Linked DNA regions of Elephas maximus indicus. The protein of the gene in region 1 interacts with the protein of each later gene in a biochemical or structural test. Links are inferred from orthologs where the notes say so. Each region holds a gene or a part of one and is shown on either strand. Other genes may lie near its edges.

Region 1 (10,878 bases):
CTTAAAAAAAAAAAAAAAATTTTTTTTTTTTCCTTCTTACCTAGCTGAGGCTGTCGCCAGACATTCCGAAAGGGAATGCTCCTTGGAACTGTGGCCCCCAGAGTGACTTTTCTCATGACTATGCCTGCCGAGTTGAGGCTTTTTTTATATTCTCCCTGTCTCAGACTCCAAAATACCCATCAGTCACCTCTCTCCACTGAAACTGTCTGCTTTGTTCACCATTGCATCCCTAGCAACTAGAACAGTGATTGCCTGGGCACCTAATAACTGCTCAATTAATATTTTGTAGATAAATTGTGTTTCTGAATACTCTTCCTATTTGTTAGGGATACACCTTGTACAGAAATTTAAATGATATTTGAATGGATTCCAAGGTTTTAGGAAGTATTGCCATTCTACTTCTAAAGCCATGCCAAGCACAGACACAACTGCAGATTGTATAGTTTGCCAAATCATATTTAAGTGTGTATTCAAAAGAACCAGGTTGTCATCACTGCATTGAATCTCGTCAGATACCTTCACCCAACAGGAGGCTGGCATTCTACGTCGCCTGCTTTGTTGGACAGACCTTTGGAGCTGCTTCTCCAAGTTTTGCTTGAATCTTTGCCTGATGCCAATTGGCAGGATTTGAGTTGTATTTACTACATTACTGTACACAGCATAAAAACATCCAAACTAAAACAGGATCAAAGTTTTTTTTTAATGTAAATTTTTATAATTTTTATTGTGCTTTAAGTGAAAGCTTACAAATCAAGTCAGTCTCTCACACAAAAACGCCTATACACCTTGCTACACACTCCCAATTACTCTCCCCCTAATAAGACAGGCTGCTCTCTCCCTCCATTCTCTCTTTTCGTGTCCATTTCACCAGCTTAGGATCAAAGTTTTGAAGGTAGCTGTACATGTGTATTTAATTTACTATTATATACAGTAAATATAAGTGAATGTATATAATGGGCTAAGTTTTACTAGGTGTGATTGTCCACAAACTTCCCTCTCCTACTCCAGTCACCAAAGAGAATGTAAATTACACAAAGCAGGGGCTAGGTCCCTAGGTGGCACAAACGGTTTGTGCTTGACTGCTAACCTAAAGGTTGGCGGTTTGAGCCCAGCCAGCATAACTGTGAAGAAAAGGCCTGGTGAGCTGCTTCCATCAAGATTACAGCCAAGGAAACCCTACGGAGCAGCTCTACTCTGTAGCACACGGGGTTGCAACCAACAACAACATGTCTGTTTTGCTCAACATTGGACCAATATATAATGTACAGCATTTTTTCCACAAATAAGGCACCCACATAAATAATGCGTCCACATCCACACACATATAACACACAGAGCACTTAGGAAAATAACATGCAAGAGGGTTGACTGGTCAAAAACGTATATATTATTTGATGAAAAATATACAGTACACACTATATAATACATTTTAGTCCCAGGACCTAACACAGCATTTGGCACACTGTCAGGAATTCAGAAAATGTTTGTTGAATGAATGAATGAATGAGAACCTGGTCATTTTCAGCTTAGTCCTCACTCTCTGCTCAGCTACCCTGATGCTCACACTCATCCCAAGCTACCCTGTCTAAAACTGGTTCCTAGATATTTTGTGGTACAAAATTAAAAAATGAGTATAGAAGGCCTTATCCTGAAGGGAGATGTGCAGGGAGGATTTGTTGGAATTAAGTGTATAAAATATACATCGTAGCTTTATATAAATACAATACGTATTTATACAGATAATATACTTTTACATACATAATATACAAAGAGCCCTGGTAGCGCAGTGGTTAAGCACTTGGCTGCTAACCGAAAGGTCAGTGGTTCAAACCCAGTAGCTGCTTTGCAGGAGAAAGAAGTGGCAGTCTGTTTCTGTAAAGATTACAGCCTTGGAAACTCTATGGGGCAGTTCTGCTCTGACCTATAGTGGTGCTATGAGTTGGAATCGATTTGATGGTAACAGGATGTATAATAGATAATGAAGAATACAAAAAATAACAAAGGGGAGGAGAGAGGGTAAAAGGGGGTCTAAATGTGGGTAGAAGAGGGAATCTTTGGGGGGCTTTGGAAAAGCTTACTGAGTGCGGTTGGTGAGACTCGGTATTTTGGAAGAAGAAAAGGAAAAGGGGATTAAAAAGTCTGGTTCGGGATTATGAATTGGATTTTGTTTGATGCTCTTCGAGGGACATGAGAAACAAATCCGGTGCGTAGTCCATAAAGTGAGCCTTTAAGTCTTCTTGGTTACTATAAATCTCAAAATTGAGCTTTTCCTACACTTATGCAATTCCTATTGCCCGGTGCCTTGGTTCACTTAAAAATAGGCCAGTTTTTTGCACACAGCAGCAAGTTTTACAGTTAAAACTTAAAGCCTATTGGTTTCAAGTGAACCATCTGGTTCTGAAGCATCAGTTTAGTGCCCTGATTTGATCCTAACCTCCAGATCTTGGGTCCCCCTGGTAGTGCATGTGGTTAAGCATTTGGCCGCTAACCAAAAGGTCAGCAGTTCAAATCTACCAGCCACTCATTGGAAACCCTATGGGGCAGTTCTACTCTGTCCTATACGGTCGCTATAAGTTGGAATCGACTCAGTGGCAATGGGTTTGGTTTGGTTTTGGTCTAGGCGATGCCTCTCCAAAGAGTCTAGAGCTGGCTCCTCAAAGGCAAGGGAGACAGGAGAATTCTGACAGTCTGTGTTCAGTCTACCATTCCTTGTTCTTTCCTGCAACTTCCCCGTGAAGCAGCAGACTCTAAAACATGACTATCACTCAGGACAGATTGACAACCACCACCCCAAGGAGTCTCCTTTCCGTAATCCCCTCCACTGTAATGATTCCATGGGAACTTCTCAGGTGGGCCACAAAGGCAAATCACGACCCAGATCCCACCAGCCCCTGATGTTGTTGTTAGGTGGCGTCGATTTCAACTCACAGTGACCTATGTGACAGAGCAGAACTGCCCCACAGGGTTTTCTAGGCACATTGCCAGGTTTTTCTCCCATGGAGCCACTGGGTGGGGTCAAACTAGCAACTTTTCTATTAGCAGCTAAGCACTTACCTTTGAGCCAGCAGGCCTCCTTCCAATCCTTGTTAGAGGTAGTGTGACACTGGTTGGCAATTCCCTACTCCAGGTGCACTCTCCCCCCAACTGAGCAAGGTACAGGCATTGATGCACTCATGCCCAGCCCCACTACCCATCAACAGACTTGAGGTAGCCGTTTCTTCCTTTACCCACGACTAACGATAGTAATAACTGTGGCAAGAAAGCAAAGCCATAACCTGAAAAGAAAGAGGCACGTGTCTCCATCTGGCTTACTGACTACTAAAAGCAATTACTCTACTCCTTACACAGGAGATGGTGGGGTAGCTGCCGGGGCCGGGCCTTAGCTCTTCTTCCCTATTACTTTGCTCAGGGTTTGCACTATCCACAACCCCACCCTCCAACTCTCCCATTATTTTTCTCGAATCCTCGCACCAAAGCTTCAGGGAAATAGAATTGTCTTCATAAAATGTGTAAGGACCATTGTCTTAGACAAAGAGGAAAAAACTGGGTGACTCATTCTACAGTACTGCATTTGATTAATGATTATTAAGCAATAAACAACCATGGTTTAAGAAGTTTACAGTGTTTTGTGGAGAATTTGATCTAGTTTCCTGACATGCCCTGCACTTCATTCCTTTCCTGACCTCTTCCTTTTTTGCTTCCTTAGACTAAAGGGCCACCATAAGTAGAGGAATTTCTGAACAGACAGGATATCAAACAAATGCAGTCTCTTTAAGCACCAACCAGGGTTGGCTCAAGAGAAGTAAATGCGTCAGCAAAGTGCATGTGCCTCAAATGGCCAGTCACTAGCTTACACTGTTCAAAATATAAAAGACATTCTTATTTATCATCAAGCATCACAATTGACCAATCTCAAAAATGGGCAGACCTGCTTAGTCTATGTGACATACTCTAAAACAGTACATTATCATAGAAAAAAAAAAAAAATCTCTTAGGGGCCTAAACACCACATTCTCTTTCTTGAAGACACTTGAACTGGTGTTTCCAATTCATGAAGTTGTTTTGTGAACTTAGTGACTCTGACAGTGAAATAAACCAGTAATGAAAGGATAGGAGGCGCTTGTCTCCCTCAGGTATTTTAGCATCCTTTTTTGGGGGGGGGGGTGGTAGGGCAGGATAAGTATTCAGCGAGTGATTAGTTGGTACGCCCCCACTTGCGTCCTTTTTCATATCCATGCCCGCTACCCTTTCACCAGCGGTTTTTGTAATTTACAAATATTCTGGTTGCACTCTACACCTGCCAGTATTGCAGTAATTACTTTAGGATGCAAACTTATTTCTAAAGTTCTGGACTCTCTTGTAAAATCAGGAAAGACTAATAACCAATTTTGTAGCTGTAGTAGGCAATGAATAACGGGATAAATACCGAGGACGAGTTCTTTAACCGTCCTGAGTGGTGATAATATCTGACGTACAAATTAGATATGAGTCACCTATGGAAAAAAAAAAAAAGGGGGTGAAATACAGGTCAACAATTGAAGGTAGGTAAAAGGATCAATGTTCAATGATTTAAGATTGCTACCTTTCTCCTGCCACATACACAAAACGTAAAGGTCTAGGGGTTGGGCATTTTAGCCACATAAAACCTCAAACTAGTACTGGCTGATAAACAGGGCCATCGTGCCCTAGAAGTACCGGTGGGACCGGGAGATGGGGAAGTGGCACCTGCCTTGTGTGTGATGCCGGAGGAGGGAAGGTGAGCGTCCAGGCGGGTCGGACCGAGAGCCCGGGGCGGGGGGGGGGGGTGTGCGGGGACCCCTTCTGGGACTCGGGGCTCCTTTCCTCCACGTGCGGTTGGCGCAGAACTCCGACCCCAGAGAGTAGAAAACGCGGGCCGAGGAGCAGAGAGATATGAGCAGAAGCGTGGGAGGAGGAAGATGAGGAGAGGAGAAGGCACAGCGCGAGGAGCGGAAGGAGAGTAGGAGACGAGAGGGTGGAGAGCCCGGAGGAGAGAAAGAGTAGGCAAAGAAAAAGACGGTGGAGGAGAGCCGCCCCGCCCCTCCCGGATCCCTCCTCCGCTCCCAAATTCGGACCGGCCCTCCCCGGCCGCCGCCGCCTCCCCTTTCCGGGCTGCTCCGAAAACGCGGAGGCGCCGAGTCCTGCTGCGCCCGCGTCCTCCCAGCGCAGCGCCGCGCAGCGCCCGCCACCCAGGCCCGCGCGCGCCCCAGCCTGCGCGCGCCCTCTCTCTCGCGCGCCCCACGCCCGCGGCCACACGGGCACGCGCGGCCCCCGCACTCGGGGCATGCGCGGTGGGCGGGGCCGCTTCAGGCCGCCTCTGCCGCCGAGAGTAGGAAGCGCGAGCGCCGGGCGCTGTGCTGTCAGTGAGCGTGGGGCCAGCGAGCGGCCAGCGAGCGAGCGGCTCCGGCTCCGGCTCCGGCTCCGGCTCCGCTCCGCGCTGCTCCAGCCCGACTCTCCCTGGCCGCCGCCCGGCCGCAGCCGCCACCGCGACCCCGGCCGCCGGCCCGCGCCCCCCACCCGGGGTCTCCGCGGCCCCGCGCCTCTCCCCCGCCCGCCCCCGCCCCCGCCCCCCGGCCTCCCCGCTGCTGCTCCCCGGCGGAGGCAAGAGGTGGTTGGGGGGGACCATGGCTGACGTTTTCCCGGCCAACGACTCCACGGCGTCTCAGGACGTGGCCAACCGGTTCGCCCGCAAAGGGGCGCTGAGGCAGAAGAACGTGCACGAGGTGAAGGACCACAAATTCATCGCCCGCTTCTTCAAGCAGCCCACCTTCTGCAGCCACTGCACCGACTTCATCTGGTAGGTGCGCGCGGGCCGGGCTCAAGACGGGCACCTCCGGGGCACCCCCGGACCCGCTCGCGGCTCCTGGGGCTGGGGACCAGTCCGTCTCCCGCGGACCCGCTCTCGGGCCCCCCAGTCCGGGCGCGTCCACCCCAGGGCTGACTGGCTCGGGGAACTTGGAGAGCCGGCGGGAGTCCCAACTCTTGCCCTGAATGACACTCGCGCGCGCCCGGCCGTCCCGGCCACTGACACACACGCGGGCCGGACTCCCGGGGAAGTCGCCGTCCGGCCACACACCCCCTGCCGCAGGAGGGAGGGCTGGCCCTGCGCGCCAGTGACATTGATCCCCTCCACCGGGCCAGTGGCCTCCCCCCAGAACCCCCCGCCCTCAGACCGTGGGGCAGCGGTTTTGGCGGGGTGTGAGCAAAAGGGGAAGAAAAGAAAATCCAGAGAGCCGGAGTGTCCCAGAGAAACACGCCCCAGTGTAACCGGGGAGCCGTGGCGATTGCTGCGCGCAATCCAAGTTGTTGGCGAGCCAGGCAGGGTGTGTTCGGGGGGTGTGTGTTTGTGCTTCCCATCGGCCTGGGACTCTACTGCAATCTTGAGTCCCTGCCTACTGTAGCTGGTATCTACTGGGCACGGAGAGACTTTGACTTTTCTAGGCGATCCCGGAGAGAAAGTCGAGAGGCAGCAAACTGTTGAAAGCTTGCAATGGGGGAAGGGGAATTAAAACAGTGCCGGCAAATGGCAGAAGGCAGAGGGAGTCATTTAAAATAGACCCTGTCGACACGAGATTGGACCTGTAACCCTGTTGATGAGGACAGAGGCCTTATTTAAGAAAAATACTGTAACCGCTCAAGGTGTCCAAGTTCAGGTCATTTCCAATGAACAGTAGGTATTCTTAACTTGAAGGTCCTGTGGCTTTGGGAGGAATTAACAAGTGGATGGGCCTGGAGGGGGGTTGGGGGGGGCCTCTGAATCCTGTAGAACTAAGTGAAACTGTGTATGTGCATTTTTTTTTTCAGGTGAGAGAATTATAGCTTTATCTGGTTTTCAAAAGGTCTGTGGCACCCCAAAAGGCTAGAAACCCAGAACTGAAGGAACTCCAGGTTCTTCAGTTTGGGGATCCGTAGTTTTGTTTTCTCTTAGTTTGCCAGACACAGTGCTTCTACTGCTTGTTTGTGGGTGTAGGCTAGGGCTCCTTAGCTCCCTCCTCTCATCCTCCGTGGAGTTGCACTGGGTGACTGTTCAGACACCAGCCCACTGTGTGGTGTACATATTTATCTTGTTGGGACACTAGGGAGAACTTATGAAGGGCTCTGTCCGAATCCATCACTCCTGGAGAAAAACATCTCAAAGGGCGTGTTCCATGAACGTGGTGGTAATTCCGTGCTTAATTTTTCCCTTCCTTTTTAGAAATCAGCTCAAATGTATACTTTTATGAAAAGCACAGCTACCTCTGTAAATGCTTTCCACCGGGGTAGTCAGCATATGAAGCTGTTGTGCTTGAGAGAGTAGGTAATTGTAGATAAGGCTTTTTAAAATAACTTTTTGGAGCATCAGGGCAAAGAGAAGCCATTGCGTTTAGTTAAGGCGAGGTCTTTGGCCTCTCTTGACTGTGAGATTCCGTTAAAAGAGAACAGTTATCTCAGACTGTTGATTACTTTTGCAGGAATTAAGTAAGTTAGAAAAGTGACTTGCAGCCTACCCAGGCCAGCTAATGTCTTTCCACTATCAGTTGTCTGGAGGGATCAGGCCCTTGAGAATCGATGTGGCTGGCCAGGTCACCAGGTGTGTTGCAAAGTGGAAGATAACGATCTCTCCTTATTCTCCCTCCCTGAATAATCTCTGTATGTCTCCACTTAATTGTAAAGCAACCACTTGGAGGTTCCAGGAAAACATCTGCTGGAATTGTTCAGCAGTGGCTTTAATTTTTCCGTTTTCTTTCAGTATTGCTTCTATGGGCCCTTAAATCTTAAAGCACTGACATTTTAAAGTTAAACGTTTGAATTTAGGTATGTTTTTTGGAGGGATGACTCTAAGTTGGTTATAAAGGTATGTGAAGTGCTTTGTAAACTTAAAAAGCTGTGTCAGGCAAGGGGTTATGACTAATAACCTCCTGAAAAAATTGTAATACAGTCCATTCTAGTGGAACGGTGTCTGCGGTTTAATGTCCATGTCAGGGTTCTCCCCTTAGAGAGTAAATTCTCTGAAGTAACTTACAAGAACAAAATTGTCTCTGTGTGTGCTTTGAATGCTGTTGGTTCTCAGTAAAAATTAGATCATGGTCATCTCAAATGCAAGTAATAGGAATGCTATTTTGTTGTAAAATATGGCTCCTTAAGGCAAAATTAAATGTTGAAAGAGTGATGCTGTTTGCTAATTTCTTATTTTAAACAAGCTCCTAACACACAGTGGAGCCACTTTTTCATCGTCATTAGGGAGAAGAAGAGATTTTTAGTTGGTCTTTAGGAACAAAATTAAGCCACTTCCTCCTTTCCCATAAACTCCTTTTTGTGACTTGAATATTGTAGCCAATATTCAAGTATGTGAATGTACAGTGATATTCTTTGTTGAAATGTAACTGCTGATTACATAGCGTAAAAAATTGGAAAGAAACTTGATAAATTGAAGAATTTCAGTGATCCTTTGCAGCCAAGGTAGATTTTTTTTTCCTAAATTGAATTTATACAGTAATCTGATTCGATATTACATGTGTTTTTCTTATTGAATCATTGGGTGTTGTGGACAAATTTTTAACTTTATAGAATAATTTGCCACACAACTTGCTTAAAATATGCCTCACATGAAGTATGTTAAGATGTTTTATTCTTGTTTCTGTTTTTCAGGGGGTTTGGGAAACAAGGCTTCCAGTGCCAAGGTAAGCTGCCATGTTGGAATTTGTTTTCAAATACAACATGAATAAGCATTCCAAACAGGAATGATATTTTAAGTCATCTTTTCTTCGTGACCCAAAACATATGTTATTTAGATAAGATTTTTGAAATATGAAGGCTGTACATTTGGGACTTTAAAAAATCATATGGTCTTGCCTAGTAATCTGCATATAGAGCTGTCTTTTTCTCATTGAAAAAAAAAATTCCTTTAATTTTATTTTTTTGCAGAGAACATTCCTCTCAGAAACTGCTGTCTTTGTGTGGGTGTTAAGAAAAAAATGGAATCACTTTGTATTCATGTGGCTTTTCTTTCTTGTTCTTCCTCTTTTGTTTTTGTTCATCTGTTTTACCTATACTTTGGGTTGGACTCATTGCGGTTCATTTTGGGCCATACATTATTTTAGTAAGTTTTTGTTTCTGTAGGTTACCGATTGTCATCCAGAACAAAGTTGGCATGTTTTAAAGGTATATGGATAATTCAGTGATTGATTCCTGCAGTATTACCGTGTGGCACACTTTTCCTTTAGCTTAGATATCTGACAACATGTTCGATGCTATCTGTTGCCTGAAAAAAGAAATCCACTCCACCCTCTCCCCTGATCTGTAGTTGCATTTCCCACCCATCCAGTATTTAACTTTTCATACTTTCTATTCATTTTGTTTAATTTCTTAATGCTTTCAAGCTTGTGTAGGCATCCCAGATTCATTAGCCCATCTTCTGGCTCTCCTGTTCATCGTCTATATTGTGTTTATTCAGTTCTGGTTGCATTTCCCATCTGGGCATAGGCTTATTATTAGGGCAAGTGAAAAATACATTCTAGCCTGGAAAATATTGTCCTAATACTGTGTAATGTTAAGCACATGAAGGAGAGAAAGAGAGAAGGCACTATGTGTACTTTTTTACAACTTTAAAATTGTGGTAGTAATTTGGTTACCCTTTAAAAACTGCTTTAAATGAGTGAACTTGTCTTATATACGTCTTCTAAATGTATTTTAGGCGGGGCTGTTTTATGGTGTGCTTATTCATTAATAGTCTACCTTTCTTACATCAAGATGTTTATATAGAGTGCTTAAAGCCCCATAGAATAAATCATTCTGAGAGTTGTATTTGGAAATCAAGGGTAGTCTTATAAAAAAGAGAATAGTAAGAGAAAGGTGTATTGCACCAGCCTTTCTTTAAAAGATAAAAGGAAGACACAGCTCTTTCCAGTTCTCAAAGTTGTGAGCCTGAAATTTGTAGGCAAGACTTGGGTCTAGACTAGATTTTAGGAAGTTTAAAGTTGTAAAGTTACTTTGTGATTCTGGACTAATGGGATTCACGTCTATTATTATTTTTGGTAATGTTTTTGAGTGGAAGCCTTGGAAACTTATAAGAAAAATACTGAATTTTCTCAAATAATATTACATTCTAAGAGAAAGAGGGCATGTTACTTTAAAAACTTACCATTTTCTGCATAAGAAGAATTCAGAATAAGGTTGGTCTCTCTTGGACCTATTTGCCTGATCAGATTTTTTTGGTAAATCATAGAGTATCTGCATTATTAAACTACAAAATGGTCCTGCATTGCTTCTCCTAGAGAGCATCTCTGGAACTGTTAGTGGATTAATGGATTGATAATCTCTTAAATACCATGTAAAAAATAAAAAGTGAAAAAAATTTTTTTAACCAGGGCCAACTCCTATTTAAGGCATCCATTCATTCCCTCTCTCACATACACTTAGTTTTTTAAACTTGAATTTTAAGCTAAGTTTTTTTAAATTTGCCTTTTTCACTCAGAGTGTATTGTCTATCAGTCCACGTCAAATCATCAGTTCTGCTTTACTCTGTTTAATGGCTAATGTGTGGATGTGTCAGATTTATTCATCCACTTCTCCGTTGATGGATATTTCAATTGTTACTAAGTTCTTGCTAGCACAGATACTGCTGCAGAGAACATCCTTGAGCACTAGTGTAGGTATTTCTACAATAGATACCTGGAAGTAGGCTCACATGTGCGTGTGCGTGTGTGTGTACATGTGTACATTTTAATCATTAATGAGTACCCCTGAGTTGCTCTGCCGAAAGATACCAATATTTTCAATATTAATATATGTGAGTGCTCCCTTTTCCCTCACTCCTGCCAGTGTTGGGTAATGTAAATCTTTTACATTTATGCCAGTTTGATAGGTGAAAATGGTGTCTCT
Region 2 (10,677 bases), on another chromosome or scaffold:
CTTCCTCTTTTCAAATCTCTCTTTCTTTGGTGGGATCTCATTCACATTCAAAACTCTAGCTTTGAAGGAGTGTGGGGAATGGCGTTGAATGTCAGTTCACCCCATCACAGGCTAAAACCCATCCCCCAGGCCAGACTGCCTGATGCCCCTATCTGCCCGCTTCCAAGGCCTCCTGGGTTGCTCTAAGCATTCCCTGGACCCTGCCCTGTGCTTCCCTAGGCCCCCATCACATCATGTACCACACTGGTAAAATTGCCTGTTTACCTGTCCATCTCCTTCTCCACCTAATGTAAGCCCCTTGAGGATGTGAAATGTATTTATCTAGTTCAAGGCGACCTTCCCAGGATCTATCATGAGGCCTGGGGGATCCATCTGACCAGACTGGGAGAAGGCAGCAAAGCTACCCAGCCCAGGAGTAGGGGCAACTAAGGGGAAAGAGGCAGAATCTCAAGCTATTTAACCTCCCCAGCCTCAGTTTCAGCACCTGTAAAATGGGGGCAATAACACTACTGATCTGGTAGGTTTGTGGAGAGAACTGAGAAAACATAAGCATTTAGTATGGGCTCATCAACTCCTCCTTCCCCCCAGGTTTTATTTCAGGTTATAAAGGAGCTGGGCTTTCCTGGTAACCCAGTCCTCAATAATGCCATAAAGTCCATGGTGTCCCGAGGCCATGGGTGGGCCAGCCACTGGCTCACAGGAAGGGGGCAGAGAGGTGCTGCCTCCCAGGCCCTCCTTTTCACTTGGGAGTTTTTCCCTCGAAAGTTGGAACCAGAAGAGGCCCTCCTTCCACTCTAGGCCTGCCAGGCTTGCTGGCAGAAGAGCTTGTGGTCAGCAGGGTCTGGAGGCCTGATCCTGCCAGATGACCAGATGCACTAGTAGCTAGATGACTCTTGAGGATAGTGGTCAGAGACTGTGTAGCAGGGACCTTTGACCAAGCTGGATCCTATATCCTGAGTCCGCCCAGGTTGACATGGGCCGGTCAGGTTTATGCTGTTCTCTGGTCATAATTATTAATAGTGTTCCCTCTTACTCTCAGGTGTCCTGTTTGCCCACTAAAGCTAAACATACCTATACTATGATCCAGGAATTCTTCTAGGTACGTACACAACAGAAATGGACGCCTTTGCTTATCAAGACATATTCTAGAATGTTCCTAAAACCAAAACCAAGCCTGTTGTCATTGAGTCCATTCTGACACACAGTGACCCTAGAGGACAGAATAGAACTGTCCCATAGGGTTTCCAAGGAGTGCCTGGTGAATTCAAACTGCCAACCTTTGGGTTAGCAACCGAACTCTGAACCACTACAGCCACCAGGGTTTTCAGGATGTTCACAGCAGCAGTAACTGTATTAGCTCCAAACAGGGAAAAACCCAAATATCCTTCAAGAGGATGGATAAATAAATTGTTGTTCATTCATACCATATTAACTACACAGCAACGAGAATGAACAGTCTACAGCCACACAATAACATGGATGAATCTCACAGACATTAGGCTGAGCGAAAGAAACCAACCTGGGAGAATACATACTGTATGATTCCATTCATATAATGTACATAGACAAAACTAAACAATGCTGTTAGAAGTTGGGATAGTGGTTACACAAGGCAGCCGGCAACTGCTTCTTGATCTGGGTGCTGGTCACACAATGTTCACCCAGTGAAAATTTGAGCTGAACACTTAGGATTTATGCATTTTCTGTACGTATGTTATTTGTCAGTAATAAGTTTACTTTTAAAACTGCCCTGGTTTGGACAATTTATAGAGTTTGTAGTCACCCAATGATACTCAGCAATTCCTGATTCTCTCCCCCTTCCCATCCACCTTCCATGCTGGGCTGGATACCCCATGCCATACATAGTCACACCCCCACCCCCTCCATTTGGAAAACCTTAAATAACCCAATCACTAACCATCCACACGGGTCTTTCCTCCTACTCTTCTAAAAACAGCAGTTGACTGAGAAGCAAGAGGTAAAATGATAAGCAAGAGGTAAAATGATAAGCAAACATGCTGACTAGAGAGATGGGAGGAAAGAAAACTTGAATCCCCAGGGAATGCTAAGAACACCCAAACTACCACATTTGCATTTCCAAACCAGGACTGAGAGATTGTCAGGGAAAGAACTAACACACTTCAGGAAGAATTTCAATAGCTCAGGGGGAAATGACCTTAACTTTTAGCTGTCCTGAAAAGTTAAGGTTACCCAACACCCCATTACCTGGATACTCCTTTTGGGTTCATTGATGTTCATTGAGCTATACTTGCGGAAACTGTTATTACCTGAATCTGATCATTGGGAAATTCGTCTTGTGGCAAAGACTGGGTCTAATACCAACCAACTCCTCCAGGTTCCCTCAGATCTTGGCCAACCTGGTTGACGTTATGGTTAGACTCAGGCCTAGAATAGCTTCTTCTCCCTGGTCCCCACTGTTTCCCACCTATCCAAATCCCATCACGGGCTGCTCAAGCCCATCTCCTCCAGGAGACTTCCTTGACCAACCACCTCAGGTTCTCAATCTCTTACCTCTGACCTCCTTTAGCATCGACCAAGGCTCTCCTTAAGCATTCCACCCCTCAATCTAAGTTTCAAGAATGCAGGGAACTTTGCTTTATTTACTAATTGTACCCCAAGAGTTTGGGCCAGTTCCTGGCATGGAGTAGGCCCTCAGTGAATACTGAATGAATGCTTTTTGCCTCATGGCATCTCCTGGATTATGATTCAGCTTTCTCTTGGACATTCCTGGTCAAGATTCCCCTAGACAGGAAATTTGCTGGGACAGGGATTGTCTTCTTCATCTTTTTACCCCCACTACTCATCCCTCTTTGAGATACCTATTGAAAGAGGAAAAGTACAGAGTGTGAATTCGGAACATTTGTAATCTAGAAAGCATTTAGGTGCGGGTCAGTGGGTAGAGAATTATTTGGATTTCAAGGTGTGGGTAATCCTGGAGGGGACCAGCTTACTGTATTTGCCTACATCTTTATTTATACCTGCCTCCTTCCAGAGAGGGTTTGAGGTGAATTACAAAAATACACACAATGCAAGGTTAAAAAAAAAAAAGTAAATGAGGAAATCAGGACGAGGGGGAAAATAAGAGTAGGAAAAACATCAAATTGGCTTGCTAGAAGTGGGCCAAATAGTTGGCCGAGTTTTCCCACAGCCCACTTGGGAAGTCCCTCTCCCGCCTTTATCGCCCTCTCTGGGAAGGCACCCCTGAGGTTAGGTGCGTCCAGGCGAGGGGGCTAACAAGACCATCCCCGTGCCTTCCTGACGGCCAGCCCCAGAACCTCGTACAAGAAGCCCAGACAGCCGTGGGGAGGGCTGGCCTTGGGCAGGGTTGCATATAGGGGCGTGGGGCTCTGGGGGGGATGGCCCAGACGTGGGGGACCGGGTTGCTAGCAGGGGCCTGTGATCTGGGGGTGGACGAGTAGGCGCTGAAGACGCGTCCCTCCACTCAATGCTGCAAAGGCTCCAGAGCGCGCCACTCAGTGCCCTCCAACCAACTCTTCTCGCGGCCTACTAAGCGCGCGCGCCATGCTCAGGACACAAAGATGGAGGGAGCCGCGCGCTTCACCCCGCCCCACCCCCACCAACCGGCTCCAGACAAAGGGGCAGGCCGCCCCTCCCCCAGCCTCTCCCTCTCTTCCCCCTCCTCCCTTCTCTCCCCTCCCCTCGGGCGCCCTTCGGTGACTTCCTCTCCCCTTCTGGGGCGGCCTCAGGACTTCTCAGGAACTGCCTTTCACCTGGGCGCAGGGCGGGGAACCAGCGCGCGGAGCGCGGCCTTCGGGCCCACCCCCGGCCTGGGCAGGCCCCAGGCCCGCGCCCTCCCCTTTGAACCCGCTCTCTCAGCCCCCGGCGCCTTCCCGCCTAGGCGCCCCCACCCCCACCCGGCCGAGCACGTGCTGCCCCGGGCCCAGAGCGCCATCCCGCTGCCCTGGGGTGGGGGCTGGGCCCACTCCCGGCTCTGTTCCCCACCCCCACCGGAAACATTCCTGAAACATTCCTGAAACTAGGAGGCCCGGCCCCTCCAGCTCCCCACCCCGCCTCCACTCCGGGTTCAGGGTTTTCCTAGCGTCCCCCTCCACCGCCCGATCGCCTCCTGAGGAGGGGGCTGGGCCGGGGCCTCGGCTGACCGGGGAGGAGAAGGGGAGCAAAGAAAAACATGAGTCACAGCCGCCGTGTGTCACTGGACCACATTGCAATTCCCTGCATCACGGGAGGTGTGGAAGGCCGCCTCAGGGCCCAAGGGCGGGGAGGTGCGCCCAAGAAGGCCCCGGGCCCCGGCCTGCAGGGCGCGCCGCTCCGACTGCGCCTTTTCTTCCCCCACCGCCTTCCCCGCCATCTTTCCACTTTGGCTTCCTTCTCGTTTGTGCAACAAGTTTTTGTTGAGTCAGGCGCCGGGCGGCCCAGGCGTGGCGGGTGTGGCGTGCGTAAAACTCAGCCCCTGCCCTCAAAGAGCTTCCAGGGGATCCCTTGCCCACGCTTTCTTATTTAGAAAAAAAATCACAGCAGAGGGCCAGGTCACAAACTGGGACCGCATGTCCCAAAACACCACCCACGTCACCTAAAAGAAGGACTCCTCGGATTGACTTGCGAACGAGTCAATCGTTTCTTTCGCTTGAAGGCTGCACCTTGATTATGGCTCACCCGTGGCCATTAATTAAAACTCTTTGAATTTCACAAGTTTCACAAGACTTGTATTTCACCAGCCAGCCACACGCGGGTTGACACTGAAATGCACATGCCGACACCTGTCCGCCCAGGGGAGATCTATGAGCAGCGTATCTGGGCGAAGGGGGCGGAGGATAGGCCGCGGAATTCTCTGAACAGGTTCGCGTCTCTCCACTCTCACGCCGCGTGGACCCCGCAGGCACGAACGCCCACCGGTGCGTGGAGAGGGAAGACCCACATGCCCAGAAGGTCCCAAGAGGTGACTAGCCTGGGGACCCCACTTTGGGCAGAAAGGCCGCCCTCCCCCTCGCATAAAGCTGCTTCCTGATTTCTCTGCGCTCCTTGCCAGTTCTCTCAGGCCGAGAGTGTGACGAGTGGGCCATAGCCTCGGGTTCCCAGCCCAGGCCTCCCGCGCACTCGCCTCCCGCGCACTCGCTCCCCCCCACCCCGACGTCAGGAACCGCGGGCCCCTCCCCGCCGTCAGCACCCACCCGAGCGGTGGCGGCTGGCGGGCGGCCGCCCTTTTAAATCCCCGGGCTCATTTGCATGGCCCCGCCCCCTTAGTGACACGGCTGGCGCGGGCGGGCCCGTCCCCCCTGCCCCTGGGTCGCTCTTTTTAAGCTCCCCTGAGCCGGGGCTGCGCTCCTCTAATTGGGACTCCTAGCCCGGGCTATTTCTGGCGCTGGCGCGGCTCCAAGAAGGCGTGAGTTCGCGGCCGCTCCGGTGGCTTCCTTTTTTTTATATCTATAATTTAATTAAATTATTTATTTATTGAGGCCGCGCACGGGCCGTGCCCAGCTTCCTGCCCCTCGCCATCCTTCGGGGAGGGGGAATAGCCCCCCTCTGGATGTGGCATATAAATACCCCGCGGGGGCCTGGGCGGCGGGCACGCGGCGGCGGCAGGCTCTGAGCACCTCTGCTCTCTCCTGGTTTCAGATCCGCATTCGCTACCAGCGGCGGCGGAGCCAGGCCGGTCCTCAGCGCCCAGCACCGCCGCTCCCGGCAGCCCCGAGCGCGCACCGCAGGCCGGCGGCCGAGCTCGCGGTGAGTCGTCCCCGGGGGCCGCGGCGGCGGCGGCGGCGGCTGGGGGCGCCCGCGCCCCCGCCTGCTCGCCGCCCCTTCTGCCAGCCGCCCGGGGCTGCAGCGCGCGCCGCCGGCTTTATTCCCAGGCCGGGGCAGCGCGAGTCGCCGGCGGGGGAGGGCCGCGCGGCGCGGGGGCGGGCGGCAGGGCCTGGCGGCGCGGGGTGGGCGCCCGCACCCCTTCCCCCGTACCGCGGGCGCACCGCGGGGGGTGGGGACCCGGGAAAAGCGCGCGGTGGGGGAGGGGGCGCGCGGCTGCAGCGAGCGCGAGTTGTGCACCCGGCAGAGCCGGGTGCACCTCGCGCGGCGGCCGCTCTCGCCAGAGCCTGGGCGAGAAGGTGGAGAGAGTAGCAGGCTGCGGCGCCGCGGGAGAGTGGGGGGTGGGTCGGGCGCCCCCCGCAGCCTGGGGAAGTTCTAGAAGTGAGGGGGATGGGCAAGCACCCCGCAATTCGCCCTTAACTGTCCTCGGCCTTTTTCCTGGTCCCTCCTCCGCTGATGAGGCCGGATCGTGGGCCTGGGTTTGGGGCTTCACCCTGACCCCACCTCTGGCCTGGCCCGCTCCTCTTCAGCCCCCAGGGCCGGGCCTGCCCTCCGCCCCCACAAACTGGTTTCTCTGCTTTGCTGGGCTCTGTTGGAACTAGTCCCTATGATTCCCCGTTTCTATTTTTTGGGGGGGTTTTATTTTGCGGGGAGGGCACGGAGGGAGGTGGCTTTCTTCCTCTCTCCTGCGCCCGCGCGCGCCAGGTTTCCTGCCCCAAGGCGGGCTTGGGTGCCCCCTCTGGCAGGAAGTGGGGCCGGGTGCACCCGCGTGGCGGTGCATGCGGTCAGGGTGCGCCGGTTTCCCGCGCCTGCAGGAACGGCTTGCGCCCCTCCCCCCGCTCGCCCCGGCCCCTAGTCCCGCCGTCTGGCCTGCAACGGTCGGGTACAAACACTTGCAGAGTCACTCGGGGTAGTAGTCTGGAGCAGGGGGCTACAGGGACATAACCAGCCTCCAGGTGGGGAAGAAAAGTGTGGCGGGCTGGAGGGATCGCCAGGTACCTACTCCAACCTATGCTCGACAACTTGCTGTGTGACCTTGGGCAACTCATCAAGCCTCTCTGGGCTACTTCTTCTTTGGAAAACAAGGAAAGGGGGCTCCCAAGATGATTCCTAGGGCCATTTTTGCAGGCTCCCTAAGCGTTTGTGGAGCACACGTTGCATACACAGTGTAGGTAGGGGACATGCTTGAGGCCCAAGCAGGCTTATTACTAATGGAGGGATTGAGGTTGGGCCCTAAATGTGGCTTCTCCAAGCCAGGCCTTCCTGATGTTTAGAAACAGGTGGAAGAGACAGGCATTTCTTGGCTTCTCTAGAGAAGGCCTCAGGCTTTCATTCAGGTTCTGGGGGCCTGGTTGGGCGTGGGGAGGAAGGACGGGTGGATTAAAGGGTCCTAGTAGCAAGAGGTTGGGGGCCGCATGGTATAAGAGCTTCCAAGGAGACCGGCCAGGATCTTCAGGCTCTCTGGGATTCAGGGCTGACTTCGCTCAACTGGAACCCCCTCTGTTAGGGGGACCTGGCAAACCTCATGTGAGGTCAGCCCTCATTTAGCTGATTAATTTTGATGTTTAGTTTTTAAGGGAGACCTGTGGTGTAATATAAGATTCTAATCACTGCCTGTAATTACAGAGCAGGCCAAGCCGCTAATGATGGAGCAGGATAAATCACCAACCACCTTGTTTAAAAGGGTCTCCAAGTCTGAAATATTGTAAAATAGAATAATTATCAGACAAAGTCCCGCTGTCTGGAGGGCCTCTTTATGCTTGAGGATGGGGGCCTCGGCCCTCCAAAAATCACAAGTTTACCGGAATGTCTTTTTTTTTCCATTGGGTTAAAATTGGAAAATGCTTAAAGATCTGAAAAGGGGGAAGAAAAGTTGTTTTCAAATGTTCTAGTTCTCATTTTGACTGGAGCCAAGATTCCCCCTGCTATTTCTTAGAAAATGAAGGTTGAGCACATCTTACATGTATGTAGCGCAATTTAAAGTATCTTTTTTTAACTTATTTAATTTGATCTTCATAGCAATACGCAGAGTTAGTTGGCTCAGGTCACTTATTATTACATCCATTTTACAGATGGAGAGATTTCAGAAGCAGAGGCACTTGGGGCCACCCTTTGCCCAAGGCAGATAGGGACTGGTTGGTTACTGGGGGAGAAGTGTAGAGCCATAGGCCTCCTAGATCATCTCTGTTTCCTATCGGTAACTGGGAGGACAGGGGTGGAGATGTGGGGAACCCTCACAGTCCTCTTTAAGCCTCTGGAAGAGGGTCTCAAATACAGGATGCAGACTCAACTGGCAGTGGGTGATTTTAGGCAAACTCAGACTTAGTGGGGCGGCTTAAACTCAAACAGGCCTCTGAGAAGACTGAAAGTGCCAGGAAAGGACCAAGAAGGTTTGGGAATCAGCCCTGCTAGGACTCTTGGGGTTAGGGTCTGTCAGAAAGGTCAGAGGTAGAAACCCGTGCTTCTAGTAAGTAAGGGTCAAAGAGAAAAATGCCATCTGACTCTAGGTATGGGGTCCCAGCAGGGGAGAGTAGGAGCCTGCCGTTCAACTTGGGGCTACTTTTCCACCCCTTCCTCACCCACTGGAGTTTTAGCCATTTCCCTGTCTTCTGTACTGTTTCCAAATTGTCTCCATCTTTGAATCCTGGTGGGGGGGAGGGTGGTGGGGATAGAGAAACCTGCTGGGGTAGGCACCAACCCTGGCCATGTGATTGGCTGAGTGTCAAGGTTGGACCTTTTTACTGTGGTCCTGAGTCTTAGACCTTGCCAGATGGGCAATATTGTCAGTGGAGTGGACAGGGGCTTGATACAAATGTGTGGTTGAGTGGCTACATGGTCGCCAGATCCCTGGGTCTCATTCCTTCCATTTACCTTTCCTTCCATGTCCCAGGACCTTAGTTTTCTCTCAAAAGAGAAGGAGGGGGCAGCTGCTGGTTATAAAGGGAGAGGACCCAGGCAGGCTGTTGGACCCACACCTTTGTCCAGGGGTAGCTTTAGTCACATAGCCAGGTCTGTGGGCTGGCTGTGCCTTATGGGCCCAGGGCCTGTGGGGGTGGCAGTATTGGGGTAGGACAAAGGACTCTTCTAAACAGGAGATAAGGAGCTGATTAGGGCCAACGGCCCTGCCCCGCCTTGTGGCAGCATGCTGGGGGTGGGCAGACCCTTTTGTCCTGGTTAGGTGGGTACGCCTGGGAGCAGGCAGAGTTCCCGTGGTGTGCCTTGGTGATGAGAAGCAGGTGAAGGGAGATGCTTTGTTTAAAACAGTTTCTTCTGCCTCCCAGCATCCTAGCCATCGCTTCATCTGCTCTGTAGAGAAGGGAAGATGAGCGAATCGAGCTCGAAGTCCAGCCAGCCCTTGGCCTCCAAGCAGGAAAAGGACGGCACTGAGAAGCGGGGGCGGGGCAGGCCACGCAAGCAGCCTCCGGTGAGTCCTGGGACCGCGCTGGTAGGGAGTCAGGTGGGTGTCTGAACCTTTGCTTTGCTCTACTCCTTTTGGCTAGGGATGTGCCAGTGTGTCAGAACAGGCGGAAATGGGAATGGAGGGTGCAGAGCCATTCCTGGCCCTCGCGTGCACATACCCTACACACATCCTGACTCTGGCCAAAGCCTCTGAGAGCCCAGGAGAGAACTGGGGGCTGAGGGACGCAAGGTGAGTTCTGAAGCCCGTGCCAGAAAGTCCAAGCCAGAAGGGACCCAGGGGTCATCTAGACCAGTGTTTGTATCATGGTAAAAATGAAATTCTTCCGTCTATCATAGACTGCTACTTTTGTAAAATATGATAAAAACAAACTAATTGAAAAATGGAAAAAAAAAATAACGTGCAAGTCTAGGATTATTTATCATTTGATCCAGTGCACAAAAAAATACTTCTCAATTTGCTATAGAAGTTTTTAAGTACTTACTGTTAATTTTTGTACTTCCTGGGTTGCACCTGTTTATAGTCTACACAAGTAGGGCTGGGCTCTGTAAAGGGAATTGAGGCCCAAGAAGTTGAGTAATGCTGGGGAGTTGGTTTAGAGGGACCCTCAGAACCTTGGTGCTGCTGCCTAAAAGGTCCTACAGGGGTGAGAATGCCAGCTGGCATTGTGAGGCACCCTAGGGAGCTGGGCCAAGCCAGGGCCTTGGAAGGGGGCACCTGTTATGTGGTGGAGATCTTGGCTTCTCTCACAGGTGGCTTTGGCCCAAACAAGAGGCAGCTGTTGGTGAAGTCCACTTCTGACTGTTTATTGGGAAGAGAAGAGGTGAAAGGAATTGAGGGTGACTCACCTGTTACACATGGGGCAGGTTATACCCGCAGGCCTCAGTCTTCCCTACCTGTAAGATGGAGAGAGTTCTCTGTACTGACCAGTGTCTGGGTCTTTGGTGTATCTGAACTCCGAGGGCTATGTCTATGTGTATTGGAATTTGGCTGCCACCTTCAGAGTCCACAGTCATGGGGGGAGGGGGATCATCCTCTTTTCCTTAGACTAGCTCTCTCAGCCTCCCCTTTACCCTCCTGCCCCAGAAGGCTTATGTTAGTAGCCAGAGTCAGGGGTGCGGGCATGGGTGCAGGGGAATGGTGTAAGGTTACTAAACTGTGCTTAAATCAGCCCATGGGAAGCCACCCCTAGGAAACAGTAGCTGGCGTACCTTTACTGCCCCGCACCCATGCCTTGTGCACAAACTTTATTCCGTCTTGAGGTTATTAAAATTACAGTGGCAGAGATGTCTGGGGTTCTGGGCATTAATTCCTTTCCCTTGGCAGGCAGCCCGAAGGGGGTCCAGGTTTGCAGGTGGAGGCGGGAGGCTCCCTTTATGGAGGGGGAATCCTTTTTTCCTCTTCTGCATCTCCAGCAGTCTCCAACATGTTCCATTTGAGGGAGGTGGATGGGCAGGAAA

What was found.
Region 2: of the proteins of PRKCA (region 1) and HMGA1, one has a biochemical effect on the other in vitro, tested with the Homo sapiens proteins (2 studies listed by BioGRID). The link is inferred for Elephas maximus indicus from reciprocal best matches to the Homo sapiens genes PRKCA and HMGA1.

What each region holds. Positions count from the first base shown.
Region 1 is NC_064837.1:57,572,633-57,583,510, reverse strand, and holds the start of PRKCA (protein kinase C alpha type), read left to right. Parts: upstream 1-5,580; 5' UTR 5,581-5,642; coding exon 5,643-5,815; intron 5,816-8,646; coding exon 8,647-8,678; intron 8,679-10,878. UniProt on the Homo sapiens protein: Calcium-activated, phospholipid- and diacylglycerol (DAG)-dependent serine/threonine-protein kinase that is involved in positive and negative regulation of cell proliferation, apoptosis, differentiation, migration and adhesion, tumorigenesis, cardiac hypertrophy, angiogenesis, platelet function and inflammation, by directly phosphorylating targets such as RAF1, BCL2, CSPG4, TNNT2/CTNT, or activating signaling cascade involving MAPK1/3 (ERK1/2) and RAP1GAP.
Region 2 is NC_064819.1:97,114,016-97,124,692, forward strand, and holds the start of HMGA1 (high mobility group protein HMG-I/HMG-Y), read left to right. Parts: upstream 1-5,289; 5' UTR 5,290-5,383; intron 5,384-5,616; 5' UTR 5,617-5,724; intron 5,725-9,080; 5' UTR 9,081-9,121; coding exon 9,122-9,256; intron 9,257-10,677. UniProt on the Homo sapiens protein: HMG-I/Y bind preferentially to the minor groove of A+T rich regions in double-stranded DNA. It is suggested that these proteins could function in nucleosome phasing and in the 3'-end processing of mRNA transcripts.